Linked DNA regions of Rhinolophus ferrumequinum. The protein of the gene in region 3 purifies or fractionates together with the protein of the main gene of each other region. This does not show direct contact. Links are inferred from orthologs where the notes say so. Each region holds a gene or a part of one and is shown on either strand. Other genes may lie near its edges. The genes, in order: TNKS1BP1, CNOT8, CNOT1 and TNRC6C.

What was found.
Region 1: the proteins of CNOT1 (region 3) and TNKS1BP1 purify together in Homo sapiens (affinity purification with mass spectrometry; 5 studies listed by BioGRID and IntAct, with this or other methods). This does not show direct contact. The link is inferred for Rhinolophus ferrumequinum from reciprocal best matches to the Homo sapiens genes CNOT1 and TNKS1BP1.
Region 2: the proteins of CNOT1 (region 3) and CNOT8 purify together in Homo sapiens (co-immunoprecipitation; 5 studies listed by BioGRID and IntAct, with this or other methods). This does not show direct contact. The link is inferred for Rhinolophus ferrumequinum from reciprocal best matches to the Homo sapiens genes CNOT1 and CNOT8.
Region 4: the proteins of CNOT1 (region 3) and TNRC6C purify together in Homo sapiens (co-immunoprecipitation; 4 studies listed by BioGRID and IntAct, with this or other methods). This does not show direct contact. The link is inferred for Rhinolophus ferrumequinum from reciprocal best matches to the Homo sapiens genes CNOT1 and TNRC6C.

The regions. Positions count from the first base shown.
Region 1 is NC_046294.1:11,763,788-11,771,764, reverse strand, and holds the start of TNKS1BP1 (182 kDa tankyrase-1-binding protein), read right to left. Parts: upstream 3,001-7,977; 5' UTR 2,847-3,000; intron 370-2,846; exon of another isoform or gene 232-369; intron 1-231. Other genes in the region: FACT complex subunit SSRP1, read right to left, coding at 4,376-4,447, 4,719-4,905, 5,420-5,508, 5,661-5,831, 6,255-6,384, 7,801-7,846, 7,966-7,977.
Region 2 is NC_046307.1:25,680,774-25,688,483, forward strand, and holds the start of CNOT8 (CCR4-NOT transcription complex subunit 8), read left to right. Parts: upstream 1-4,705; 5' UTR 4,706-5,135; intron 5,136-6,370; coding exon of another isoform or gene 6,371-6,418; intron 6,419-7,710. UniProt on the Homo sapiens protein: Has 3'-5' poly(A) exoribonuclease activity for synthetic poly(A) RNA substrate. Its function seems to be partially redundant with that of CNOT7.
Region 3 is NC_046298.1:10,854,783-10,862,161, forward strand, and holds the start of CNOT1 (CCR4-NOT transcription complex subunit 1), read right to left. Parts: upstream 3,002-7,379; 5' UTR 2,849-3,001; intron 1-2,848.
Region 4 is NC_046304.1:52,115,926-52,122,855, reverse strand, and holds the start of TNRC6C (trinucleotide repeat-containing gene 6C protein), read right to left. Parts: upstream 3,018-6,930; 5' UTR 2,880-3,017; coding exon 500-2,879; intron 1-499. UniProt on the Homo sapiens protein: Plays a role in RNA-mediated gene silencing by micro-RNAs (miRNAs). Required for miRNA-dependent translational repression of complementary mRNAs by argonaute family proteins.

The DNA.
Region 1 (7,977 bases), on a different chromosome or scaffold from region 3:
CTGGCAGTAAGCGTGGTCGAGGGAAGTCTCCTACTCCTAGCTGAGGCAGAGTGTGGGACAGGAAGAGGGAACTTCAGAGGGGATGAGGGAGGTCGAGGGAGGTCCCCAGCTGCCATATCCTCAACTCTTCCCAGATTCCTCTCCAGCTCTGGCCCCCGAACCCCAAAGTCCTGAAGTTTCAGGTAGCTACCTATTCTTTCCTCCTCTGGTGAGCTAAGATACCCCACTTACCGTTCCCAGGGTACCCCTTGGGTCCAGCAGCCCCACCTGAGGTATATACTCAGGGGCAGAGCAAGAGGGCCCCAAAGTCTTAGTCTTTCAGTGAATCACCTCATGGGAGACGGGAAAAACCCGCTCCTCCCCAACCTGGGGCTCCGCCCCACTGCCAGCCTCCCCCTTTCCGCTCACCCTCCTTCCCTCCCTCCCTCCCTCCCTCCTGCAGCTGGGAGTGGTTCCCTCTTTCCCTCTTCCCCCCTCCCCCCTCCTCCTTCCATATCCCTGCCCAACTCCCGCTTCCCTCAGAGCTGTCTCATCCAAACACGGAAAAATAAGGAATAAGAAGTAAACATCTGGAATACATTTTTTTCTTTAATTTCTCAATCGCTTTGGCTTCAGCTTGGAATTTGATGAGGTAAAGCCAGGGCCTAGTCCTGTTGCCATAGCAATGGCCTCCCACTGGATTTCCAGAGCGGAGCCAAGAGGAAGGAGGAGCCGGCCCAGGCCTGGGCTGGGAGAATGGGACAAGGCTTGAGGCTTGAGAACATCCGGGAGTGGGGTGGCTTGGGGGAAAACACTCCGGGGTTCCCCCTTCTAGGACAGTGAGGATGGGACAGCCACAGCCTATGGGCAGCCTTCACCAGCCTAGGGTTGGCCTGAGGAGTTTTGAGGGAGCACAAGAAATTTTAAACCAAGTGACACAGCCCTATGGTAGAAACCGAATAAGCCAGTACCAGGAACAAGCTTCAGGTTCTGATATGCGAGGATTCAATATTGGGTAGGTCTACCACTTTCTAGCTGTGTGCCCTTAGGCACAGCACTTACTTCTCCAAGCCTCAGTTTCCCTATGTGACAAATGGAGTTACTGAGACTGTTGGGAGGTTTATGGCAGTTGATGCATGCAAACTGCTTAGCATAACGCCCAGCACATAATAAGTGCCCAATAAATATTGGCAATTATTAGTACAATTCCATTCGGTGTCACCAATGAGCTAAAATCCTTGGTAACCACCACCTCCTCTCCCCAGACCATTCCCTCACTCACACAGGTCCCAGTTATGTCACCTTCAGACACTCCACCACCTCCTTAGTTCTCATCCTGGCTGCTGGAGCACCATCCCACCCACAACACCCGCACCCCAGGCTTTGCAGCCTGGGGGACAAAGTACTGCCCCTCTTGTCACAAAGGAAGAAGGACATTTCCTATCACCTGGTATGCACAGAGCCCTTGAGGACAACCCAATGGGCACTGCCTTCCTCAAAGTCACCCACTGCAGCTGGTCTGGGAAAACAGCACCAACTCCTAAGAAAGGCCTTCTGATGCCCAACATTTGCAAAACTCGCCCACCCCTCTCCTCTGACCCTGCCCCAAGTTGCTTCAAAGATGGCAGAGAGTATGAAGAGCTAAGTAGAGAGAAACCCAGGACCATCAATTCCCTTGGTCAACCACCTTCCACAGAGGACTGCTCACTGTGGGTGGGTAAGTAACTAACTGCACAGCCAGCCCAAGAGTGCATGGGGGAAGGGCACATGATAGAAAAAATAAAATTAAAACACAAGATTGTTTCCTTGTCCTTGAACATTATCACAAGGGACATGGTGTAGGTGGTTAGAAATGCGGACAAACTGGCCCAGAACTGAAAAACTCTTTCACCTGGGAGCCTGATGGGCACCTCTGCAGTATGAGGGGGTGCAGCAATGAAGTGGGGGCTCAGCTTCCCCAACTGAGGAGGGGCCACAGCAGCTCCGAGGCCCCAGCCAGGAAACGCAGGTGATCAAGGCCGTTGCCAAAAGCTGCAGAATCACAGCGGCTCTGAGCACTCCCTGCAACCTCCAGGAGTCAGGGGGGGCCTATCTGACCCCCAGGAGCAAAGGCTGCCACAAGGGCTGCGGAGAGGCCAGGCAGCTCCTGCCCGGGACAGGGGCCCCGAGAGGCATCCGCGCAGGCGGGGTCGCCTCTACGGTCCCTGGGATCTCCAGCGGATCCAGGGCCAGAGAGGTAGGCAGGGGCAGCACGTAAACTGCTGGAAGAGGGAGGGCCAACGGGAAGACGGAACAGCCTGGGGCGAGGGGCCTTCTGGAGAGGCCCAGTGGGGAGCTCTGGACACAGAGGGGATGGCAGCAGCCGAAGAAGAGGAGGAGAGGGTGGAGGAGGAGAAGGGGGTGGCAGAACGGGAGGACCTGTACGCAGAATGTGAAGCAGCCGGCGAACAGACGGGGGACTGAGGACGCAGACCGAGTGGGGGCGGACTGGGGTGGCTGGGGGCGTGCCGAGGGAGCCGAGGGAGGGGGCTAGCGCGGGCCCTGGGGAAGGGGGAGGCAGGGGTCCCTCCAGCAGTTCCGCCCGCCCCCGGCCCCGCCTCAAGCCCTCGCCCCCTCCCCCCTTTCTTCTGGATCGGCCAGCACGAGCTCCAGACCGTGCACCTTCCGGCCTCGCGCACATGCGCCAGCTCCCGCGTGTCCCCGGTTTCCCCCGCGCCCCCGGCCCCTGCAAACTTTCCCGTTCACCCCCCTTCCACCTTAACCCGAGGTCCCGGCTGAAAAGCACCCACTCCCTCCATGCTTCTCCCCCGCCCCAATCCCGGACCCCGCCCCCTCCTTCGCCCTCCTGCCCGCCCCCGCGCACTCACGCGCTCCCCCGGGATCCGGCTCCGCTCGGCTCGGGCTCGGCACCCCGACGCCAGTCTCCGCCACCGCCGCCGCTGCTGCCGCCGTCACCGGGGACCAAGCCAGAGCGGGCCCCGGCGGGGCCCCGCCCTCAGCTCCGCCCCAGCTCCGCCCAGGCCCACACCCCTAGGGCGCTTCATGAATATCCATGAGACAGTGAAAACCCGGAGTGGGAAGCCCGTGCAGAACTCGCCTGACCGTATGCAAATAGCAGCAGCCCAGGTACTCAATTATTCATGAATCTTGCAAATGAGGGGCCCGCCCCAGCCTCAGACCCGGGTAAAACTGACGCAATTCAGCCGCTAAAAACGCTGGGGCAAAATGGCCACCGAGACGACTGCCTAGAGAGGAGACTTAAGCTGACGGCCCGATTCTCAGGCCCAACGGCCTGAACTGATCGCAGTACCATAGAGTCGCGGCGAGAAAGAAGGTAACCCTTGGCCGACTGCGGAGGCTTTCTGTGGCAAGCACCTTAGAGCCTACCCAACGTGGCCACCCCACGTGTGTAAATTCAGATTTGGAGCCACAGTGAGGAAGACTGGAAGCTCTATTTCCCTCACTACTCCTTATTTATCTCGTTATGCTCCCTTCCCAGATATAAATTCTTCCTGACCTCAAAATTTGATATACCCTTTTTCATATAAAAACAAAAGCTACCTCCACCCCCACACCACTCATCGTCCCAACTCTCCAGGATCAGGTTTCCAGTGTCTTGGTTGCAGAGAGGCCAGTCAATCCTGATTCCATTATCTAAAGCCTTGAAGACCCTTGACTCATAGGTGATTAAGGATGGAGCCAGTAGCTGCCTCTCCTTAGCTTGGCTAATGGAGTGGAGCTGTGAGAGAGACTTCCTAATCAGATCAGCTCTCATTTCTAGACTCTCAGGTGGCCCATCCCTGCTGAAGAGGGTGAAAACCAATGCTTGTCCAGCCGGGAACAGAACAGGATGTACCTGGAGACTTGCTTCCCAGCTGGCCAGCAAGGCCTGCCCAGTCACAGCAGTGTGGTAAACACCACCAAGAAAAGTGGGCGCAATACAACAGGGCTAGAGAGGAGGCATAAGGACATGGTTTCCAAAGTCAGTTCCCTTTATTAAATGATTTTCACAGAACCAGAAATACAAAATTAAAGTAGAAATTGGCCCCCGTTAGGAGCTACAGGCCTGACCTCACACGACCCCAGCTGCAGCAACTTGAACAGGACAAGCAGCAGCTATATCCCTAAGGTCGGGAAAGTAGGGCGAGGATTTGGAACCTGCACTGCCCTGCCTCCCACCCAATCTCTCCCCCAGTTATGAAGAGGCATCTTCGTGAAGCAGCAACCCAGGAAGACGCCTCCCCTGCTGTCCCAGCCAAGTGCACACCACCAGAAGAGCTTGTTCAGATGGCACAGAATCCAAAGACTACACTTCATATGAGAAACTGGTACCAAAACATGAGTGGGGAGTCGGGTGGGACAGGGCAAGCCCAAGGAGAGAGTGTTTTCCTCCTCTCTACTCATCAGATCCTGACGGCGAGTCTTCTGAGCTGGGGGGAGTACTGGCTAATTCCTCTTCTTCAGAGTCCTGAAAATGAAACGTCTCTTTAGGGGAAAGGTGGAGAGTCCCGGCTGCCCTCCCAGCCACTTGTCAGTGGTGAAGGGCCCCTAATTCCCTACCGTTCCCTAACGTCCAACACTAGTCTTCAGAACCCCAGAATTCCACCTATCCATTCCATCCCATTACTGCTATGGACCAACCACAATCCCTGGTGCAGAAGCACCTGCTGCCACCCCCCATACCAATTCAGATGCCCTTCACCCTTCCAAGCCCCACAACCCCCAAACTCCTGCCACACCTCACTCTGCCTTCTCTTCTTTTTGCTCTTGTTCTCTCCTGAAGAGCTCTCGTCACTGGACACAAACTCTTTGCTCTTGAAACTCTCACTCAGCTGCCTTGACGACGACTTGGATGACGAGCCCCTAGAGGGCACTGACTTCTTTTCCATCTTTGCCTTTACTTTTTTCTTCTTCTTTGACTTGTCCCTATTATTAGCAAGAGGGAAAAGGTTTCCCCATCATCAAGGTCAAACCTCCCCCAGCTTTACCAGGGCCTTTCCCAGTCCCAGCCACACTGCCCATCTCGTGTCATCAGCCAGCCATGTCAGCCCAAGTGCCCCAAGAGAGAGCATCATAAGTGAAGAACAAGAAGAATCAGGCCTCACAGCCTGGTTATATGCAAAACTTAACTTGACATCTCTTGCTTTATCGTAAAAATTCGTATGAATTAGGCACCATAGTAACATATATATTTTTAGCTACCCCGTACCTTCAAATAAAATTGACCCTCTAGGAAAATGGGCCATATTTATCCAGCGACTTCAGAAACTCTCTAGCACAGTACCCATACTGGGCAACTGCCTACCCAGGTTTGAGAAGCACTGTCCTACTGAAGTCAGAAGCATCTCTGTTATATTTAACTTCCCAGTTCTCAACTTGGACCTGCAAAAAATATCTGTCAAAAAAGCAGTTACTGGGACATTCTGTTCCCAACACTCACCTCTTAGAAGACTCACCCCGGCCCCCTTCATATTCTTTCATGGCTTTTTCATATTCCCTCCTGGCATCCTCAGCCTTGCGATCCCACTCCTGTCCCACACACACAGGGGTCGGGGGGTGGGGAAGAGAAGAATTAGATTGTTCCCTGACACAGGCAAAACCTATACAGAAGTTCCACCAGGGCCCTCCACCCCCTCTACCAGTTACAAGATTTACCACCCCTCGTCTCTGCTGGTACTCACCTCCTTCTTCTCTTTGGACATCCCCTTCCAGATCTCGCCTGCTTTCTTGGAAAGATCCGTGATGCTGATGCCCGGATGGTCTGACTTGATCTTCTCTCGGCTGGCGTTGAGCCACAGCATGTAGGCAGACATGGGCCTCTTGGGGGCATTGGGGTCTTTGCCCTTCTTTACCTACACAAGAAAGAACCCAAAGGCCTTCAGCACTATAGCCCACATTCTCCCTCACATTCTCCCAAAGAAATTACTTGGATCCCCTACCTAGGGACAAAACAGAGCAAGGACTAAACTGCATCAAGCTGCCTAGGAGCTCCCTAAGGGCAGGGACCACGTCTTCCTCCCCTCTGCACGCCAGTACCTAGCTCATTAGGGGCCCCTTTCTTTTGGGCTCCCAGGACAAAAGAAGCCCGTCTCCTAGGTCAGAACTCCCAGAAGCTAATTATCTCAAGGACTAGAGAGAAATATTTGCAAGAAGCTACTCCTCAAGGCCCTAATCACTGGCTACAAAAAGCAGCCCCAACCCACAGGCCCTAAGGGTGGTGGACGGGAGAACAGGGAGCAGCACCCCAGCACCCTCCCATTCAGGAGAAGCAGCACCTCCACAGGCTTCTTGCGGCTCTTGCGATCCTTGGCTATCTTGGCCTTTTTAAGCTGTTTCCGTTTCTTCTCATCTCGGTCACTGTCACCCTCATTACTGGAGGAGCTGGCAGAGGCGTTGCTATCAAACCTGCCAAGGAGAGTGGGGCTTAGACTCACTCAGGGACAGAGGATGGCACCCCATGGTCTCAAAGCAGGAAAGGAGTCCAAAGACACCCACCCAGAAATGGGGGCGGGAGGACCACAGGGCCGCCTCCACCAGCATCCCCAACTCTTCCTGCCCTTCGCTGAGGTGGCTTCAACCATGCCCTCTCCAGACCCAGCTATAGCAATGGGTTATTTGGTCAATCAGTCAAAGAAAAGCAAACAGACTTCATCTGCTCCCCTTGGTCACAGCCTAACCCAAGGCCTCCTCCATCCCCATGCTCCCGGGAACGGGGACAGAAACGGTCTCAGCAACATGTCCAAGTCCACCTCACGACTCCGGGTTACTCCTCTTACTCTACCCTTAGTCTCTCTGATCAAGAGACAGTTACTATAAAAAGTGGGAAAAAACCAACTCCACTCCAACCCAGCCTGCACTGATGTTGTCACAGTCCTACCGGACACACACAGGACTCCTCAGAAAACAGAACTGCCCAAACCACACGGTGCTCAATGGTTCTCCCTTTCATAAGCCTTTAACTCACAGACTCACTATGAACAAGCACGTGGCGCCCAGAAGTAGTGGACTCCTATAGATTTTCTTCTTTTTCCTGCCCAACATTCATTCTGAGTTCTTCTGGATTCAGAGTCCCAACTTTCTGTTGGGAACCACCACGCCCCATGCAGAAGGGGCCAACCCCACCACAGGCCGTGGGCACACGGCCTAGTTCTAGCCCCTCAGAGCGTATCGTCATAACTCACACTTGGGAAGGGCCACGTAACCACGCTGCTTACTGCTGCTCTGAGCGCAGAAGCATTCCTGGGTGTTAAACGAGTAGGATTAAGCCTGCCCAGAGCTTCTGAGGGTCATCTGGCACTGCATGGGGCAAACCTACCAGAAAATAGGGAAATCAGAAGAAAGAGAAAGATTCCCCACAGCTGCTGAGTGCCTGATCCAGGTGCCTGAAGCCAGTCACACCCCTGGACTCTCGTTACATGAGCCTACAAAATCCCCTTTTAAGCTACAGTCCGTTCAAGTCCTATTTCTGACACTGGCTATCAAGAGTCTTGATCAACACAGCACGGGGGCACTATTGTCGTTTTACAGTTGAAAACGCTGAGATTCAATGATGGACCCAAGGACTCCGGCAAGTTAAGTGGGGCAGTGGCTCTCATCCCCAGTCTCTCCCCACTATACTTCTCTGGCTTCACAACATGCCGTGCACTTACAAAGTGCTTGACGATTTGATTTTTGAAGCATTTCCATCTATCACCTCACTGGAGGTCACTTTTCCACCCTGGGTCAGTAGTAATGCTGGGACACAAAAGATGTCCAGAAATCTCTGGTCCTTTAAGCTCAGAGGCCATCACGTCACCCCCATAAGGTGGAACCAAAACTCACTCCTCTGCCAAGTCTTCCTCCTCTTCACCTGGGTTAAACGACTCATCTGGAAAACGACACAGAAGGCATCAGTTGTGTGCCATGGAAACCCTGCCCCCTCACCCAGATACCCAGACCTGGACCGTCTGACCACCCCATGCCCGGGCACGGCCGAGGCGAGCCCACCGGTTTCCTCTC
Region 2 (7,710 bases), on a different chromosome or scaffold from region 3:
ACCCCAGCTTCTGCAGAATGCAACACCTTCCCTGTGTGGCTCTCCAGTGTAGACTGTGAGGTGTTGCTGTGCTAGGTGTGTATCTTGAGCTGCTGTGGCTTTGTGGTTAAGAGCATGAGCCCTGGCATCACAAAGCTTGAGTGTGAAGCACGGTTCTGCCTATGTCACATCTCAAAGCCTCCATTTCCTCATGTGAACCATGAAGGTTATTACAGTACTTGGCCTTGAAGATGTAAGCATCTGCCAGTGGTGCTGGGAAGGAGACTGCCCTGGTCTGACAGATTGGCTTGGCTCTTAACGGCCAAGCGTTGGCTTCGACACTTGGGATCCAGTCCACGCCCGCCAAGCTAGACCTGGAGGAAGCCCCCTGGATGGCTGGCCACTCTTGTCCCACGTGAGGGGGACTGTGAACCAGGCCAACAGCTCTGGTTCAAGAAGGGGCTTTGCGAAAGCTTGAGTCAAGGGCAGCATGTTTCGCCCATTCTGCTTTCTGGAGGGCTGGGCTGGGGCAGAATGCCCTGAGAACGGAGGTGATTCACCCCGGCGCCTGGGCAGATCATGGAAAGATGTTCTTCTCTGGGCAAGAAGCCAGGATGTGATTTGGGTGGAGCGGGCAAAGAACGTGGGTTGAAGAATCAACTTCTTCCTTGTTGGATAAGAAAAGTCTCCTGGAGGTTGTCAGAGCACCAAGCAGGTAAGGCAGGCTCAGGAAGCTCTGGGGCTCCCTTCCCGGGGCCACTCCTGGGCCAGGAAGGAGTTTGTCGCAAGCAGTGTCCAAGCCTCGTTTATCAGGGATAAACTAAGTACGATTGGTTGAATTGAGTAACTGGGAAGGAGGACCTGCTTGGAAAACAACCACCACTCACACATTCAGAATCCGTACTGTCCATCTGGTATAGGGAGTCCACCATTGTTTCCACAGCTATCTCCGTCACTCATGACAGCTGTCACCATGGTTTCAGCATCCGGCCATTGCTGTCCCTGCTCCCATGCCTGAGGGTGGAGCTGCCTGACATCTTCGGGACTCAGCCCACTGCCAGGCTGAGCCGATCATTTCTGTTCCTAAAATGCTGACCAGAGTGCTGGGGGGTAGCCAGGCAGCGACAGCGTGGGTCCACAACAGTGGTCTTGGCTGGTTGGCTCTGAGATTTGGGCCCAATTACTTCCTCCCTAACCTTCTAAAGCAGGGGAGCCTTGTACACCATAACTTGGCTCACCCTGGCCATAGTCTCAGGGGCCAGTGATGAGAATTTTGAGTGTGGCTTTAGTTCCTGCTTTCTGGGCTTTGACCAGGAGTTGCTGCAGCAACTTACCGGTTCATTCTTGCCAACCTGAATTCGGTAGCGGGCGATGAAGTTGGGTTTCCCAGTTGTGTCAACCACCAGTAGAAGCCCATTTAAGCCCCAGAAGCACAAACTGGGCACCTGGGTGGCAGCTAAAGTTGGAAAGCAGAAGAAGGTTGGTTGTTTAATCGGGGTGACTTCAGGTTCTCACAGCACATGGATTAACTGGACACACACTTGATGGTAACTGAGGCGGCACTGGGGACAGTCCCTTGCCACGGAGGTCTTGGTGCACAGGGCCAGGGGATCTACTTTTAGTCTTAGATGACAAACTAGCTGGGGGAACTTGAACAGTCACGTAAGGAGTGTCTCTACTTATTTTCTTAGTTGTAAAAGGGGGACAAGAATATTCTAGATGGTTGGAGACCCCCAAAAAGTATATGCTCTAAAATAGAAACGAATTTAGGTTGACAATTGGAAGTCCGTACCCACTGAATCCTTTATGAATTTCCATGGAAGGGAGAAGCAAAGGAAGTGCTTTGTATGTTATGGTTCACAGTGAGCCCTGAACTAGGAGTCAGTCAGGGAACCTACTGCCTGTCATCCTCCTAACTGAGCAGTGTGACTTCAGGTGTCCAGTCAGCATTTCCCAAAGCAGGAAACTCTCTCTCAAGGGGCTTCTTGGTTAAACAGCTTTTCTACCATACTGTCTTGCAGAGTCATGGTCGGGACTAGTGTGTTAACAGCTCTGAGAATTCCTGCAGCAAAGAAACTGTTTGACTTTGTTAAACTCAACCTTTCCCAGGCTTTTTTTTTTTTTTTTTGTAACCCCAGAACTCTTTTCTCAGAATACCTAATAGGATGGCCATGCATCTCTGTTTGCCCAGGACTATGTCGATTGACATCTGTCTTTCCAGTATAATTATTAACACCTCATTTACTCTCACAAATGTCCCTATTTGGATAATGTATTATATGGTCATCCCACAGCACTGTGTTCTGCAGGATGTATTAGCAAATACCGATCAAGACTTGACATTTAGAGAGCTTTTTGCCTCACATCCCATCTTCCCATGAAGTCATTCCAAGTATCGCTGATGTCCTACTGTGAACAAACAAGCACTTTGTCCACCCCAACTGGCAGTTAATCAAGTGACATCGCAATGTTACGTAACTCTTGTACTATTAACTTTCTTTGTCCATGTTTTCCCTCCTCTTAATTCATTATCCAAGGGACAAGGACATTTGACTTAACTCTGTGTCTCTGTGTCCCTCCTCCATCACCACACTGCCTTGTGGCAGTTGATTCCTGAAAAATACTTGGCCAGCACTGTGGGGAAATATGATTGGCACAAATATCCCAGAGGATACTAGTAGGAAATGAACTAAATAGATGAGAGTAATTACATACATTGGAATGGACTGGGCAGCTTAAAATGTTACGTAAATCTATATTAACTGACATGGAAAAGTGTCCACAATATATTTAACGAAAAAAAAAGTTTTAAAAAATTTGGTGTCTTATAAGTTCAACCATATATCCAGTTTAAGATCTGTATTAATATATTAACAGTGCTTACTTCTTGGATGGGAGAGAAGGGGTGCTTTTTCAGCTTTATGCTTATTTGAATTTTCTGGTTTTTATTTTAACAGTGAGCACGCATTTACTTTTATGTTCAGACATAACACACTTTAAATTGTTAGGTTTGTGGTTGCCTACTAGGAAATCCAAGGGTTCCTTGAGGAACACAAAATGCAAACCACAAAAAATGGTCTTGAACTTTCTTCAAGCTCTAACACTTAAAATTGCAAATACTTTTCTCTCTCTGATATTTTCTTATCACCTTGGTGACAGATAGTTTTCCCATCACTGTAACAGGAGTATATAGAATGTTTTCCTGCCACTTTCCCTATATACATTTGCAATCGGCATTATTCTTTTCAATGGCTACTTAAGATTGCATGGAACCTATTTATATTTAATTTTCAGAGTTGTCCTTCCAGCTGAAAACAATCGTCAGGGACATTTTATTTGTACTTTTGCTTTGTGACAACTGACCCTTTTTTATCTCCCCCTTTAGATTGTGACGTGGTTTTTTGATGGGATAGACTAACACTTTATCTTAAACATCTCTCTATCCTCGGTACAAATTTGGCACAGAGTAACATTAATAAATATCATTTGAATGAATAAATGTATGATTGAGGACAGTCAATATTGTAGATAATGCTGTTATAAATATGTTGAAATGGCTTTTGCTTCCACTATGTTTTCTTAGGCTTGTTTCAAGCCATTCATGCTGTCAGTAAATACTGAGTGACCACTTGCTGTCCAGCCTCCAAAGCTAGATGGCACCAGGTAGAAGGACACAGCCTCGCATGACATACAAGGGCTCTCTGCGCTTGTGGACCTGACATCTAGAAGCAGCATTACTGCTTGAAACATGCCTTTATTTTCACACAAACTATTTCTTGTTTTCATTTTTCTACTTTTGGGGAGAGGGCGATCTCCATTTCTCAACTTCTTTTCTTGGATAGCCTTGGACGTCTGTTCTAGATTGCCCACAAGCTTAGCAGTTTGGGGGTTACACTGTCTTAAACTTTAAATCCTTATTCCTTGTAATAATGAGCTGAGAGTCCCAAGGTAGAGAACAATAGAAAAAGAGTTAAACTATGATCACGTACGCAAACCCTAAGCCCTGGTGGTCTGGGAGGCTCACCTATTATGAAAAGGATCCACTCCTTTCCTTCAAATGTAGACAGCAACCTCTCCCACTCAGCTTGCCAGAAGTGGCCAGAAGCACCCCAAAATCTCTGAAGATGCCTTGAAAGGAAAATCAATCAGGTTTCTGGGTGAAGATTGATGGGCGGACAGCCCCTTACTTCACGCTTTGCCCCCAGACCACCACCACACTGTCCCCAGGTGCTGAATTCAAGCTGGTGGAGCAGACTCACCATGTGACTGAGTTCCAGAAGGCCACAAGCAAGAGAAGGCCAGAGCCCAGGATGAAAGCAGTCTTCCTCATGGAGCCCCAGATATGTCCCTCCTGGGGAGGATAAGAAAGTGTCAGGTCCCAGCTAGCCTCCTGCCTTCACTCACAGCTCACAGCTGAGGCCTGACAGGTGTGACAAGCAGTCAGGACCTCAAGCACGCGAGCATTGCACGTCAGTGACCTTTTCCCAGTTTCTGTGGGAGGCTCGTCCTTATCACGAGCTCTAGGGCTGTACATGGGTGTGTTTATGAAAACGAGAGGTCAAGGTTGGGAGAGGGAAAGGAACCAACCTGGCTCCAGAGACACTGGCAGGTAAGTCTGTCGCCCAGCCTTCCATCAGCTGTCTTCTTGTTGAACTGAGATGCCCAATTATGTACACATTGCAATCACCTGGGAGCTTTTTAAAAATCCAGGAGTCCAGGTCCCTCCCCAGCCCAAGGACATAGAGTGTTTGGGGTGGAGCCTGGGCCTCCAGGTTTTTAAAAGCACCCCAGCTAATTCCAATGGGCAGGCAAGGCTGAGACAGCCATCACAGAGAACCTGCAGAATCCGTCATGAGGACAGAGGGACTTCATTGTATTCAGGAGCCTGGCCTGTTTTCCCATCCCTATCACCCTCTTGCCCGTGAAGAAAAGAGTGAATGAACACACATGTTCTGCCTCTTAATGATCCCTCTGCCTTCCAGCGAGATCAGCCAACTGGACAGGACGATGAGCGGTTCTAAGGGCAAAGAACAGACCACTGGCAGTCGCTGGGAGGTCCTTCTCTGTTCTCCTCCAAGAGCCTAAAGTAGAGGTTATTGCAAGTGTGGTGCTCAAACGAGCTCCCAGACTTGGAGAAGGAAAACACTGGCCTCCAGGTGAGTCACGGGTTTCCCTGTGCCGTGGACAGGAACTACAAATGGCCCTCCCATCCTGTTTCTAAGCCCAGAGGAAGCCGTCCTGCTCAGGCTCTTCCATGGGACAGAACTGGAGGTGGCGGTGCTTATAGCTCTGTGCTGGGCTGACGTGTATTTAGGGAGCTGGGCCACTTACGAGGGGTCGGGGTGGTGTCGGGGTGGTGTCGAGGGGAGCTGATCAAACAGCACAGACACTACGTTTTAACCCAGACGTTTGAGATCTGAAGGAGCAGATTGTGTTGACTGACCCATTCAGAGCAGCCTGAATCTGCACTGAGTCATTTCTTCTTGGCCTGGCCTGTTCTACTCTTGATCAAAAGACCAAAAAGAAGGAGGTCATCTTCCATGGCCTGTGGAAAGTTTTTAAAGGGCTGGTGTTCATCTGGGTCTTGAGATCTAGAAATGAGCTTCTCTCTCCCTTGTCCCTCACCTTCTCCCTCTCCCTCCTCCCCGCTTCTTCCCTCCCTCTCCCTCAGGGCTGGATCCACAGGCCGATAGGAACTTGTTCTCTTACACAGGCCATTCAAAGGTCACCACCCCAAGCTTGTCAGGCAGGTTACCTTGGGCTTTTGAAATTATTCCTTTTCTTGGATTCAGAGGACCCTTTTCATGAACTTTTCCAAACTCACTAGGAAGTTTTCATTTGAGTTTAATCACATCAAGCTAAGTCAAGTTGAAATCCTCAATTTCACATACAGGATTAGATTTTTTTCAGGGATTATGGTGTTTTCTCTCCCTCCAGCACCCCAAGTGAAAGGACTATACACAGGACAAAGACCTCTGTGAAGTGCGGGAGCTCACAATGCAGAAGGCAGCTGAGCTGAGATCAAGAGTTGGTTCCCAGCCCCCAGTGGGCTTCTCTTGTCCCCAGGGCAGTGCTAGAAAGGTGTGGCTCCAAAGGCCCAAGGCATGGGACATTCTAAGGGCCAAGAGACCGTGGCAGGACAGCTATTGGGTTTTGCCACTACCCTCATGCAGGGCTGCTCCGTGGTGCAGAAAAAGGGGCTTTGGTTATAAAGCAGGTTGGGGTCAAGTGGTCTCAGCTCAGCTACTGAAATGAGCAAATCACCAAAGTGTCAGCTACCCCTAAACCCTGGGGGAGATGTCAGATGTGCAGCAAATGCAGCAAGCGCACACATGGAAAGAGTCACTGGCTAAATTCTCACCAGTTTGGTGGGTGGGGTGCTGGCATTTACCTGCTTAGGCTTCTCATCATGTAGCTTACTTCCAGCTTCTCCCTTCATCTGGAAAAAGAAAGCACAGTTGAGTCTGGATGTCATTTTTACACGCAACCAAGGGAATAGGAAAGTCAAGGGGAATGGCTAGCTGTGATTTTTAAAGCTGGCTACTCATTAAAACCACCTGGGCCCCACCTCCAGCGACTGAATTGCTCTGGGCATCGCTACTCTGAATCGGGGTTGGCAAGGGGACTTTGCCTGGAACTGGCTTTCTCAGGTATGGTCTGTGACAAATCTATTTTTTTTTTTTTAATAGCTTCACTCTGCCCCAGAACGACCTGTCTCATTCAGAAGAAATCTCTGTCCCCGGACCCCCCACTCTTCCCTAACTGCCAATAACCCGTGGCCCCAAGAAACCAGGACAGAAGCCAGGGCTCTGCCCCCTACCTACTTAGACAGCTTCCTTAACCTCTGTGAAGTCAGGTTACCACACATGGCCTGGATCTGTCATGCCGATTGAAATCGAAGCATTTTGCAAGCTGTTCAATGTGATTCAAACAACAGGTATATTTACAGGTAGAAATCATTAAGACAGGGAGCCTCAAAATCTGATACCTTTCTCAAGGCCATCTCTCCGTCGTGTCTGTCACTTACCGGTTTTGTGACCCAGGACTTTTTCAGTCTCTTCTTTATCACATTTCTTGGTATTCTTTTTAAGTGTTTTTGCAACAAACTTAAAGTGTTTCTACATATTTGAAATAACGCATGACTTTTCTGGGAAGGTGACAGCCTGCGACAGTGGCTGGGTTTGGTGGGCGGGCACTTGAGTTGCTGGACAGTTGACTTTATTGAGTATCCCACTACATATTTTATTACAAATCTTTAATAATTAAAAGTGTGTGGCTAGCCCATGAATAGGCAGACATATATTACAGATTAGAAAGTCCAGACATACACCTAAAAATATATATGGGAATTTAGTATATGATAAAGAGAAATCAATATAAATGGACTTTCAATTGAACAGATGTTGAACCTCCTCCATAAAGAGAAATGTGAATTAAAACTACAATAAAATATTACTTCTCATCCATGAGCATGGCAAACATCCAAAATTTTGACCACGTGCCCTGCTAGTGAAGCTAAGGGGACTTATTTGTATTTGTTCTTACACTTTTTACAAATAATCTGTATTGATACATAATTCACATGCCATACAACATATCCATTTAAAAGTGTACATTTACATGGCTTTTAGTATATTTACAGAGTTATGCACTCATCACAATTGATTTTAGAATATTTTCATCACCCAAGAGAGAAACCTGCACCCCCTCAGCCGCCATTTCCCATCCTCC
Region 3 (7,379 bases):
TCACTCAATGGTTAGAGCGGTTCACTCAATGGTTAGAGCGCAGTGCTCACAACACCAAGGTCAAGGGTGTGATTCCCACATGGCCCAGTGGGATGCGCTCTCCCCCCCCCCCCCAACCAAAAAAAAACTAGACTGAAAAAACAGCGACTTGACTTGGAGATGATGGGTCCTGGTAAAACACAATGCTCCCCAATTGAAAAAATAAAAAATTAAAAAGAAAACGGAAGCACATTTCTTCAAGTCTACACTCCCAAAAGCTGCTTTTTCTTCAATCTCAACAGAGGATTTCAGATTAAGTCTACACCTCTAATTACTGACATCTCAAACAATGCTTTTCAATGAACAATATGTTTTATTTGCTTTACTACACCCTTACAAAGGTATATGTGAAAAGTACATTGAAATAAACTATTGTGTATACACAGGACAAAAGGATTTGAGGCCATTTTAATTTTGAAACAGGCTTCTTAAAAACTGTAAGCAAACAGAAAAGGGAACTGCAGGATTTTTCTATATACAGTATAAGGTCTTAAAATAAGAATCAGTGGGATGCCATTTTGAAACTTCCCAGCAGCAAGTTCAGTTTGGTGAGAGGGCCATTTAAGAAATGCTTGGCTAATATTTTTCAATGACTTGAAAGTTAGTTTTGTTCTTTCATAAAAGAATATACCACATTCATAAAATATAGTGTTTCAAAATGACGGGCTACAATACTTGTTAATTCAAGAAGCACAGGCATCTAACAAAAAAAATTAGTGTCTTAAAATATATGAGCATTCAATTATAATCATTGTGGACAAATTCCCTTCTGGGGCACTGAGTGCCAAAGATCTGTTACTTTGTAGAATGAAGTAAAGATTCCAGTTCATAAATTTAAGCTGGTTAAAAGGAAAGCTTTTCCTAACTAAACCAGAATCTAACCAAAAACATACTTGGAAAAAGCAACATGCAAGAATAATGACATTAGTCTTTAAGCATGTTTTGATGAGATAGCAAGCATTTCCTCTTCTGTCCCCACAGGTTTGTTTTGTTTTCAATGCTCTAACCCAAAGTCAGGAGGATATCACAGTACTTAGCCTGACAAGATCCATGTTAAAGAGACAGGATTTAAACCCTCACAGAAATTTAGTGACTAGAAATAGAGTATTTCAGTTGTTCCACCATGCCTCAAAACTTCTGACTTAAAACTTCTAAGATTACAATCTTAGGCAAGAAAGGGAAACACTTTCAGTTATTAATGGTCAAGTCTTTGTGCCTTGATTCTAAACTTAAGTTTCTACTATAGGACTTGGGATCCACACTTGTTGAAAAGGGACAAACTCTCCAAACAAGTTTTATCAAGAAGCTACCATTTCAGAGCACAACTAGAGGTCTAAAACTTTATGTATCATCAGCTCATTTTCTCCTTAGACAAGGTAACAATATGCAGTCTCCTAAAACATGATTATTTAAACTGTTACCATATATATATTATTAACAGCTAAAATACTATACTGCCAATCTTTGGAAGGGTAGAAATGTCAACCTGGGCCACAGATCACTAACATTAAAACCAAATATGTCTACAAAAACAAGTTTCTTCTTAACCTGTTTCACCTACTTCCAAATTTTTTACTTGTCCTCCCGTTTTTTCATCCATTCCTATCAGACTGTCATAGGGAAATGCTCGAAATTTTTTTTGCAAAAAATACTGAAATTATATTCTCTTAATTATTTACTCACTGTTAACATAAATCCCTCAAGGCAATCGAATTATAAATAATGGAAGGTGGAGATTAAGTATTATTACTCAGCTTTCAGGAAGAAAACTGACTTTAAGAGACCTGAGAAATGTGACAGTTCATTGAGTGACTTCAGGGGAAAAGTTTACTCCTCCAAGTTTAAACACATTTTCAAACACCGTTATCAAGCATTTTCTGTTTTTAACCCAGAAAGCTTACTCCTCGTGGTGGCAATTATCTGTGTGAGCCCGGTTAGGTGAATTCTGCGGAGGAGGTGGTACTTAAAAAGGACACTTCAGTCTGTGAAATTTCAATATTGTTTGGCCTTCGGCAACCCTACCAAGACCTGTAGTAAATCTCTCACCAGTATCGTGGCCTCCAAGGGCTCAGCTCACTAGGGGGACACTTCCCATGGGTGAGCACAACGGCCACTTTAGCACAGACACTGGACCAAGTGGGTGGGGGCCAACTTCGGAGAAAGTGTGAGCCGCGGGCGCGCGAGTGGAACAAAACCTGTGGCAGAAGTAATAAGGAAGTGCTCGCTCCCGCCCGCCCCTCCCACCCGCAGGGACCCGAAACACCCGGGGTTTGACAACGTGCTGGGGGCGGGGGGAGGGGGACTGGCAGCTCCCAAGTCGACGGGAAAGAACTGGGAGCCTGCAACTACTCCAAACACAGTCCCCTCGCCCCAGGATCTAGGCCTCGGGGGCCAATGCCCACTGCACCTATCCGAGAGCCCAGGGAGAAAGAGGCAGTTGAGGAGCTCGTGGGGTCTGAGGAGGGTGCAGCCCGCGCGAAGTGAGGCCCTGCCGTCTGTATTACCGCCACCGTCGCCCTCAGAGTCTCCAGGCCCGGGCCGAGGGCCACCAGGTCTCACCCCGCGCTCTGCCCTCTGCTTTGGGGAGCCTTCGCCCTGGCCTCTTCTCTTCGCAGCCCAAACACTCCGCCAGCCAGGGGGAGAGAGTCCGACCTCTCCCGTCTCGCCACTTCCCCGTCCCGACCGCCCCTCACTCCGCGGAGCTCCGGTAAACGCTCCCAGTGGCCCCGGGACTACTACCCCCAGTCCTTCCCCCCTCAGCACCCGCGTTCCGTAGCTGACACCGCCAGCCGGCCTTAGCCCACCTCACCTCAGGCGGCTCCGGCAGCGCTGGACACAGGAAACTCCTGGGTCCCCGACTCCGGCTCTCCTCGACCCCCTCCTTCGGTTAACTCCGCTTGTTTCTCTACAAAATGGCGCCGGAGGTCGCGCGCTCACGTCGCGGCCTTTCCCCTCCCCGTTCTCATTTCATCATTCGCTGCCCGCCCGAGGAGGGCTGGTCCTAGCACCAGCCAATGATCGTACCCCGCCCGTGGCACCCGCCCAATCACCGTTAGGTGCCCGCGGATTTAAACCAATCACACACTATCACTTGCAGAAGTCAAGGAAGAAACCAAGCTCCTGCTAGCAACTACCAATCCGGAGTCCTACTTCGAGGGCTTTGGCCAATTGCCGCTTTCCCGTCCCTAGGGACTGGAGTCAGAGCCCTTGCGCCTGCGCCCGAGCGAAGGCCAATGGGGAGACGCAGATAACTTCGATTTGGGGCTTCACGGACTTCCCACCTGCCCTGGAGGTCTTTCACCATTGTGGGCCGTGGGACTGGCATTGCCTCTGAGAAACAATAAATAAGGAAGGGGGCCCCATAAATCCTCGCCACTCTGCGCGGGAACTACTTTGAATTATACTGGAACAGCCTTCCTTCACTCCTTTCTCTTTCCACTTGTCAAGTCCAGTAGACTGGGGGGCTTCCCAATCTTAAACATCCCCCTACCCTCGCGTCCCTTTGGCGGGGAACGCCAGCCATCAGAAAGCAAGCCAGTCCGTAACTAGAAGGGCGACGTTCTGCGTCCCGGGATATGCAGTATTCCTCTCCCTCCGGCCCATTCCTGTCGCAGAAGTAATGCGTCTTTTCCCGTCACTTACTGCGCCCGGGGAGGAGCAGTGCATGCTGGAGAATGTAGTCTCTCAGGCCCCACTGGGTCCTAGCTTGCCTCACTTTCATCAAGACAACTTTTTCTTCTCATTCTACTTGTTGAAGAGGGGACCCCTAAAAGAGAGATAGGAAGCTAAAATTCTCGTTTGGTTTATGCCTTGTAAGCGGTACCAGAAAGGATACCAGTGCCATTTGTTCTTGGGAGAAAAAACATAGAAACATATCTTTTTCTATAATGTATTTTCTTTTATTCCCCCGCCTTTCTTCCGCCTCCCCGCCCCCACTCTGGTTCAAGCTTTGTTTCTCAGTCTAGTTGTGTAGAACACAGCTCCTCTGCCCATGCTGGTATTATGAGCCTTGCACTCCCCCACCCCTTGCTGAGGCAGCCAGTCGCTGGTTATGGTGGGCCACTCACAGCAGCTCACTGGCAGCTCTCACTGGCTGCCGGCTGCTCACGCTGGCTGCCGACCACTCACTCTGGCTGCTGGCCACTCATGGTGGCTGCTGGCCACTCCTGGTGACTCACGGTAGCTTAGGGCAGCACACACAGCAGCCAACAGCAGCTTATGCCAACCTCCAGCTGCTCACAGCAGCGCAGCTCCAGGGAGAGCCATTGTTCACAATCTTAGCTGTAGACCTAGGGCGCAGCTCACTGGCCCATGTGGGAATCAAGCCAGTGACCTCGGCTTTAGGAGCACGGTGTTCCAACCACCTTAGCCACCAGGCTGGCCCTAGAATGTATTTTCTATAGTAGATGATAAGATTTTATGCTCATCTGTTCCCAGAGGAGGACGGGAGCACTGGAAAGGAAGCATTGACTGGTTGGCACTTTTACCTTTCAAAAAAAAAACGTATCTTGGGCAGGCCCAGTGGCTCAGGCAGTTGGAGCTCCATGCTCCTAACGCCGAAGGCTGCTGGTTCGATTCCCACATGGGCCAGTGGACTCTCAACCACAAGGTTGCCAGTTAGACTCCTAGAGTCGTGCAAGAGATGGTGGGCTGCGCCCCCTGCAACTAACAACGGCAACTGGACCTGGAGCTGAGCTGCGCCCTCCACAACTAAGACTGAAAGGACAGCAACTTGACTTGGAAAAAAGTCCTGGAAGTACACACTGTTCCCCAATAAAGTCCTGTTAAAAAATAAAAAATCAAGTGTCTTCCTCATCACCCCGTTTTGAGGCTAAGCTCAGAAGCACTACCTTTTGTGCCTAAACATACTTTATTATTATTATTGTGGTAAAAACAGGTAACAAAATTTACCATCTTAACCATTTTTAAGTGTACCATACGTTGGTGTCAATTAGATGCATATTGGTGTGCGACTGACCTCTAGACCGTTTCATATTGCAAAACTAAAATTCTATACCCATAAACAACTCGTTTCCTCCCTCAGTCCCTGACAACCACCATTCTACTTTCTAAGATTTTGACTGCTTGAAATATCTCATATGAGTGGAATTATGCACTATTTGTCTTTTTGTGACTGGCTTATTTCACCTAAAAGTACTTTTTGACACCTGCTTTTCCTTGGTTCGAGGCCAACTCTTTCAGCAAACATTTACTGCGTGTCTCGTGTTTTCAAGCAACTGAATGAGACTCAGGACCTCACATACAGCAAGGACAAGGATTGCTTTAGTCTTGTTCCGAGCTGTATTCCCAGCACCTAGCACAGTGCCTGGCACATGGCAGACATGAGCAAATAAGTGCTGAAATATCAGGAAACAGAGAAGTAGCTTTATAGAATTACAATGTTAGTGATAGAAAAGGCCTCTTTAACAGACCAAGGATGAGGAATAAGGTCCTTCTTTTCAATGCTGCTGTAAAAAATTGCTAAAAACCTCTATGGATAGCAGCCATTTTGACCAAGTTTATCAAAATTGAAAATGCACAGACCCACCGACCCAATAATCCCATATCTAGACATTTATTCTGCAAGTGAATATTGCAAATTTGTACAGAGGTGAATGAATGTATCAAGATATTCACTCATGAGGAGTCTCACCTTAATTCCAGGGTTTGTCATCAGCATTCACCCCTCTCCCCTCCCCACACACACGGCCTTTCAGTCCAGGTGAGGGGATTATTCACCTGTTCAACAGCATCTACTGTAAGCATATTGAGCATTTGGGACACTGGGAAGACAAAGCACAGTCCTGGGAGAGTTTGCATTTAGTTATGGGAGAATGGCAATCAGGGAGATGAAGGTCCAAGAGGCATCACCTATGGAAAAGCTGTCTTGATTTCTTACAAGTTTGTCAAAACAAAAAGATTTTTAAAAAGATGGGGGAGAACAGGTTGCATAAGAGTTGAGATCTTTTTCATTTGGGAAGAACCTGATTTAAAACAGCCTGGGTAGAAAAATTAGAACCAGAATTGGAGAGCTCTATTTTCATTGGGTTCCTCACTCCAGAATTGGTGCTGATCCTTCCTCATCCCTCTGTTCCCTGGTACCTAAGGTTTAGGTGTGGTGTCACCAGACTGTCAGGCCCAGCTTTGGGCCCAGGCTGCCCGATCTGAGCAAACCAAGTGGTTTTATTGAGCCAAGTCCAGATCCTCAAAGCAACTCAACCACTGTGGCCTTCTCTCCTTAGCCTGGACCAGTGTGGTGTCACATGGCCAAAAAGGGACATACCAGTGACAAAAGACTGGTTCAGACTGTTAAAGTGGTAAAGTGAGTGATCTCAAATCCAATGACAGAGGAGAAAACAGGCTTAGACAGGACAACTCATCTCCAGTCATAGATTGTGGCAGAACTAACATTTGAATTCACTTTCGTTTTTTTTTCCCCCCTTCTTCCCCCCCTCCCCCGCCCCACTCTGGTTCAAGCCATTGTTTCTCAGTCTAGTTGTGTAGGACACAGCTCCGTGGCAGCTTGCGCCAGCCCAGCTCCAGGAAGAGCTATTGTTCACAATCTTAGCTGTAGAGGGCGCAATTCCCTGGCCCATTTGTGAATCAAACTGGCAACCTCGGTGTTAGGAGCACCGCGCTCCAACCACCCCAGCTACCAGGCGGGCCCAGAACTCACTTTCTGAAAACTCCAATTTCTTTGTTTATTTTTGTTTCTTTCATCTTCCTACCACTTATCTGGAGGCATTTTCTGTAATTAGGCCCAGTATCAGTGTCCTTTGTGTGCCAATTTTGTTATCCCATTCCGATGAAATAAAGTTAAAAAACAAAGTGAATTTTGACCAAAAAAAAAAAAAAAAAAGATATCCACTGCTGCATTGTTTATGAGGCTCCAAAAGATTGGAAACAATACGGAAGAGGTTAAATAAATGTATGGTATTGTCATACGGTGGAATGCTATGAACTCTTTTTAAAAGAATGAGGTAAATCTATATGTACTGTTATGAAATGATTCCAAGATATATTGTTAAATACAAAATTTAAGTGACCAGAAAAAAAAGCGATGGCATAATCTGTATGTTACCATTTGTGTAGGAGAAAATAACTGTCTATATCTACATATAACTAAATGCAAAAAAGGTTTTGGAAAGATACACACACACACACACACACACACACACACACACACACACACATCATAACTGACACCAATGGTTATCCCTGGGGAGTGAAGTGGAATGAGGAAGGGTAAAGCGAACTTTTGCTTTTTATTCCATATATTACTATACTATGTATTCGAACTTTTTACCAAGAGGATGTTTTATTTGTGTAATTTAAAATAA
Region 4 (6,930 bases), on a different chromosome or scaffold from region 3:
TTCAACTGAAATAAAAACATGACTTGTATAACGCCATTCACGTTTTACAAGAATGGTTTTATTTCAGTGTTAACCACACATCAGAAACACCCGTGGAGCTTTAAGACCCACCAGCGGACGGGCTTCCCTCCAGACGGGTGATACGAGAAACCTCCTCTGAGGTCAGTACGTACTCCCTGCCCCATGCTCCCAGGTAATTCCCACGAGAGCCGGGGCTGAGCACCACTGGTTTATCTCATAAAGAAATGGAGACTCTAAGTGAACACAGACTAACACAACGGTCCCCCGTCTTTCCTGAAGAGGATGCATTTATTGCTTCTTCCTTCTCCTTTCCATTGAAAAGTGCTTAAGATATTTTTTTCTTGGATAGAGCGCTTTCAGGGAATCCTGCTTTAATTCTACACGGTGAAGGGCACTTAATGCCATCTGCTGTGAAAACACGAGTCTGATGACTATAAATGCTTTTTAACTTTTAAATAATAGAAAGCACATCCCGTACCTGGACCGAGCAGCGGCGACCGGTTCAGCTGGGCGCTGGCCTGGAGCGGTGGCGGCGGCGTCTCGACCACGCTCGTGTTGTTACTCGTGGTGGTGGCGGCAGCGGTGGTGACCGCCGTGCTGCCCTGGATGCCCGGGTTGTTCCTGTCCCACATGTTTACAGTTTTGTTGTTGTAGTTGCTTGGGTCACCCCAAGCTGAGGTACCATCATCAATTTCCATTTTGCGGCGAATGGATGGCGGAGAAGGTTCTTCCCAGCCCGTGGCCTCGCTGCTGTCCTTCTGTTTGATGGGGACCGGCCCCCCGATCCACCCTGCTCCTGTCTGTTTAACGGAAGCGGCTCCTCCCCAGTTACTCACGCTGTTGTCCTGGGGTTTGCTCGCCCAGTTCTGTTGGGGGCCAGGTTTTAAAGACTCTCCCCAGTTTGTCCCTGGATTCACCTTTGCATTTGTGCCGCTGCCCCAGCCACTGGTCCCAGACCTTGTAGCGTCATTCCAACCAGACCCTGATCGATTGCTGTCAGCATCCCATCCAGAGGCATTTTTTTTCCCATCCCCCAAGTGTCCAAGGACAGAAGACGAGTCTGCCCAATCCCCCCCTCCAGCACTCCAGGCGGGATTTGATTTCTGTCCATCTCCCCAGTTTTGAGATTTGGGCTTCTGAGGCTCACCCCAGGTGGGCGACTTGTCCTCCTGACTTACGGTCCCACTCCAAGCGTGGCCACTCTTGGCAGCAGCAGCATTAGTGACAGCAGTAGAGCTTATCGAGTCCCCCCAAACCCCTGGGCCGTTTGGCGCTTTGTTGCTGCTGTCTCCCCAACCTGTGTTTGCTGGCGCAGCAGCAGGCGGGGAGCTGACCCACCCAGATACTGAAGAGGTATTTGTACTGTTCATGATGGACCCATCGTTCTTCCCCCCTGAGTTTGAAGGCTGAGTAGCTGCACAACCCCAGGCCTCTGTCCCATTGTCATTTTTCCTCTCCGACCTCGGGGATTCTTCAAATTCCCAGGCAGTGTTTTGCTTTACTGGAGTCTGTCCCCATCCAGTATTAGACAGAACTCTTGGGTCGAGATCGTTCCTTGGCAGCTGGATGTGCCCTTGGTCTGTAATCCCCTTGTCCCGCCTTCGGCCTTCCGCCCCCTCCCTCCCCGTGCTTCCTTCATTGTAACTGCCAGAACCGTCGCTGCTGCCTTCACTGGCGGTGGTTGCAGAAGACGCAGCTTTGGCCCAAGAGTTCATGTGTTCACTGCCAGGCTGCATGGCAGGGTTCTGGCTGCTGACACTAGGACTGTCCCACCCTGTTGATCCTTTCCCACTGATGTCACTACTGGAATGCTGGTTCGGGGGCTTGCCCCACTCCCCATTCACACCGTTCGAGGTGCTTCGGCTGGGGTGGCCCCACGCTCCCGAATGGATATTACCCATGCCATTGCTGCCACTGCCCCTTCCCCAAGCGAGGATTCCAGGACCAGCAGGAGGGCCCGAGTCCCAGGCGTTCGTCCCATTTCCTTCCTTTTGCACAGCACTGCTGGATCCGTTTTGTTTAGCACTTAATGCTGAGCTCACAGTGTCTCCATTCCCCTGATTGAACCCCGAATTGCTATTTCCTGCGGCAGGGTTACCTGGGGACAGTCCCCACACAGAACTGCCGAGTCCCTCACCGCCACCCCCACTGACTTGAGAAACTGATGATCCGTTAGCACCAGCGAGGCCTTGCAGAGGGGGCGGGATGATGGCCCCCATGCCGACGGCCATGCCCCAGTTTGGCAGTCCGTTCGCCTGCATTGCATTGATAGGGTTTGGGGAAGAGTCCATGGGGTTAGTGTTATTTGGTCCGTCAGTGTTAAGGTTCTGAGGTTGTACGCTGAAAGACACATTCTGAGAAGTGGACGTTTGTGGTTCTGTGCTCTCTGGCGGCAGCAAGTTTCCCCAAGCACCTAAAGTGCCTGCTGGGGTCCCATTCGGGGTGCCCATGTTTTGACCTATGGCACTGACTGGACTGCAAATACTGGAAGGGTTGCCTGTCGCCACAGTTCCTTCATGTCCCAGTACAGGCCAGGCAGCGGGGTTGGCATTGGGATTAAGGTTAAGATTAATGCCAGCACTGGAGTTGGAAGCGCCCCAGCAGTTCTGACTTCTCCCATCTCCAATCATGTTGTCCATTTTCCCATCCCCACTGCTGAGAGAGCAGTGAGCCAGGCCGGAGCTGGCGCCTGTGGCTACGCCCCACACTCTGGCTGCGTTTCCGTTGCCGTTGGCTCCCCCTGCTCCAAGGGCACTGTGATTAGAAGGGCTTTGGACGAGTGCGCCGTTGGTGCCATTATTGCCATTTGTCTTCTTGGTATGTCCAGTGAAGCTGCCCTGGGCACTCCCTGTAGCCATGCTACTGTTCTCTGAGCCACAGTTGGAGGCAGAGTCAGTGTCTGTAGTACATTCTGAGGCAGATTCGGGCTCTGCTCCTGTGATGGAAGGCCACGCCTCCTTATCAGTCCTATCTATTATCACTTTATCCCAGCTGCAGTTGGCTTCACTTCTGTAAGTGGGCGGCTGTCCCCAGTGGGAACTTTCATAATGATCTGCCAATCCACTGTGACTGAGATCTGAAAAAGACGAAACATTCAAAATTAGATTTTCCTCCCATCTGTCAATGAATCAACTGTTAGTTAGTCTTTGGGGGAAGCTCATTATTTCAAGGTTTCAATTCTGAATGACAAATGCTAAAACACGACTTGAAGAAAAGTTATTTGTCCCCTTCACAGCTCCCATTTAAAACAGAGATAACGCTTCTCAAATCACAGTAATTGTTACCACCACACCAAACTGTCACTCCTCCGGAGAAGATTCACAATGCTCATTAGCACATGAGAGGCTATGAAAGCATCTGTAGCACAGACAGCTGCGTAACCGTAACCGCGATGTATAGCACTTCGGAAATTTATGCAACTGTACAACACCTATAAATACCCCAAATCTTTGGGAAACACTGGCAACAACAAGAAGTTCACATGGATGCCTCAATACAATGTGTAGTTCTCTTCAAGAGTTACAGTATTGTGTAGAGGCTACACGGCTCATTTAGTAGACAGGGATTGTAAATGCCTTGCAGAATCATATAACAGGACCAATGTTTTGGGGGTGGGGGACAGATGGGCAGGGAGAGAGGGAAAGAAGGAATGGGGGGAGAGAGGCAGGGGAGGGAGAGAGAGAAGGTATTAGAAAATGCTATCGTATGTTATCAAGGGTAGTAAAGGTTAGAAAGCTTTAATGACATTTATACTACTTCACCTGTTGTTACCAGCAATTATGCTTTATCACTGTTTCCTGTGCATCAACAAAGAATATTCTCAGCCCCACATCTGGTACCTTCTTTGATCTCTAAGGATTCCTTCTACAATTGCTTTCTATTTCCTTAAATTACAGTCTCTTCTTTGGAGATTCTCAGAATAATTTTATGTATCTTCCTAAAGTATTTATATCATTTCACTCTTATCCTTTTAAAGAATTCAGTATTTGGTACCTGCATTTTATCTCCTACGATTTCCGAATTATTTGGGTATTTCTAACACTGCAATCAAACTTATATTCCAATGAATTTTCCAGCAGACTTTATTTGAAGTATGTGTCCTTAAAAATGAAAAATATAAAAAAAAATAAAGTTACCTGTACATACAACAAACTCACGCAATTTGGAAATCCTTGACAGTTTCTTTACATAGTACGATATACAGATAATTGCAACAAAAGTTTTCTTCTCTTTTAGAACCTTTTCATCATTATGTTCTCTTCAAATTTATTTTAACAAGAAAAAGCTTACTCATGGAGAGTAAAACTGAGTTTCCCAAAAGAAATCTCTTTTAAAGTTTGATGGAGTTAAAAAAAAAAAAGAAGTATGTAAAGAATTACCACTATCACTGGAAAGAACATATTAAAGCTAACTTCAACCTTAAAAACAAACACAAATAAACAATTTTTGTTGCCTGATTTAAAAGGAATGTAATGAGTTTAGAATTATGCCCTAGGTAATTCTAAAGTAGGTAGGTATTCCAGGTGAACTCTGCAAAGGGGAACAGAGATAGGCAACAGAAAACTTTAAGTATCAAAAGTACTATAAAACAACTACGTTTTTTATCACCAAATATTAGGGGTTGGCTCTGCAACTCTGGTTTATGACAATTTTCCCTGTTGGTTTTGTACATACTATAAAAACCAGCTTATATAATAACTACATTAAAGAAATAAATGAGACGACAACCAAGATGGCGCAGTAGGTAAACGCTGAGCTCACCTTCTCACAACCACATCAAAATTACAACTAATCTACAAAGCGACCATTATTGAGAATCGCCTAAAATCAAACAACAGAAGCCTTTCAATTAGAGACGTGCAGAAGAAGCCACCTCCACACTGGTAGGAAGGGCAGAGACGTGGAACGGGCTGGTCCCTCACCCACGTGTGACCATTAAAGATCGGGAGGGATATTTCGGCTGTGGGCATCCCCCCAGCCCAGGGTCCCAGTGCCGGGGAGAGAAGTCCCCATCATTTCTGGCTGTGAAAACCAGCGGAGATTGTGACTGAGTGAGACAGTGTGACTGCACTCCCAGGCACTCCTGTTAAAGGGACCACACGGACTTACCCACCAGTGGAATCACTTGCTCTGAGCTCCAGCGCTGGGGCAGAGGCAGCAGGAACAAATGTTGGGGAACTGAGTTGTCTGGCTTGGGACGGGGGCTGGAGAGGCGGCTTTCTCCGGGATAGGGGAGCTGGTGGAGGCCAGTGTTTCTTTGTCGAGCCCTCCTACTTCCCCACCTGAGTCTCCCTGGCAATTTGAGACCCCAACCCGTCCTGCCCCGCCCCACCCCACCCAACATTCTGGCACACCCAGGCTGCTTTCAGTGGCTTTTTCATGCAGACCTCCTGAGCCTTGGCTCAACCTGCAGACTTTCGTGGAACCTAAACAAGTAGCATCTGGCTTGAGCGTGTCCTGTACCTCTGGCTGAGCAGCCCTAAGCCGGCACTAGGGGCAGCCGGCCTTGGTTTGTGGCTTGGCCTCTCAAGGCGCTTCCAAGTAGAGCACGGGCGGCAGACGATAAGGATTTCTTTCTGGCTCCCGCTGGGTGGCCCCAGGTGGGGCATGGGCTGTGGCTGAACTTGACCTACAGCCGATCCCCTCCGAGGTGGTCCTTGGGCTGGCGCCCCCAGTGGCCAGCTTCAAAACGAGCTGGAGCATCACCCAGCCGCCTCCAAGTACGACACACCCAAGGAGCAAATTGGACAGGCACCAGAGCCCTGCTAAGGCAGCTCCTGCTCTGTAGGGTCAGCCCCTGCATAACCCTTCCACTGGAGTCAAGGCCAGTCCTCACAACCAGTGAGCCCGAGGGTCAGTCCCTCCCACTGATGTGCAATTATCAACCAAGGCTCAACTACAAAAGGAGGGCGCACACAACCCACACAAGGGATTCACCTGGAGCACGTGGCTCAGGTGATCAGAAAGACTGCACCACTGAACCCCATGGCACACCTACTACAGAAGGCTACTCTACTAAGACCAGAAGATATAACAGCCCTACTTAATACATAGAAACAAACACGGGGGCAGCCAAAATGGGAAGACAAAGAAACACGTCCCAAATAAAAGAACAGAACAAAGCTCCAGAAAAAGAGCTAAGCGAAACAGAGATAAGCAATCTATCAGATGCTGAGTTCCAAACACTGGTTATAAGAATGCTCAATGATCTCAATGAGAACTTCAACAGAGAGATAGGAGGCATAAAAATGGAGATGGAAACCATAAAAAAGAACCAGTCAGAAATAAAGGCTACAATAACGGAAATGAAGAATATGTCACAGGGAATCAACAGTAGATTAGATGAAGTAGAGAATCCAACCAGCGACGTAGAAGGTGGCAGAAAACACCCAACTAGAACAGAAAAAAAAAAAAGGAATCCAAAAAATTCAGGAGAGTTTAAGGGGTCTCTAGGACAATATCAAGCATACCAACATTCGCATGATAGGGGTACCAGAAGGAGAAGAGAGAGATCAAGGAATTGTAAACCTATTTTAAGAAATAATGACAGAAAACTTCCCTAACCTGGTGAAGGAAATGGACATACAAGCCCAGGAAGCACAGAGAATCCCAAACAAGATGAACCCAAAGAGGCCCACACCAAGACACATCATAATTAAAATGCCAAAGGTTAAATACAAAGAGAGAATCTTAAAAGCAGCAAGAGAAAAGCATTTAGTTACCTACAAGGGATCCTCTATAAGACTGGCAGCTGATTTTTCAACAGAAATTTTGCAGGCAAGAAGGGAGTGGCGGGAAATATTCAAAGTGATGAAAAGCAAGGACCTACAACCAAGATTGCTCTACCCAGCAAGACTGTCATTTAGAATTGAAGCACAGATAAGGAGCTTCCCAAACAAGAAAAAGCTG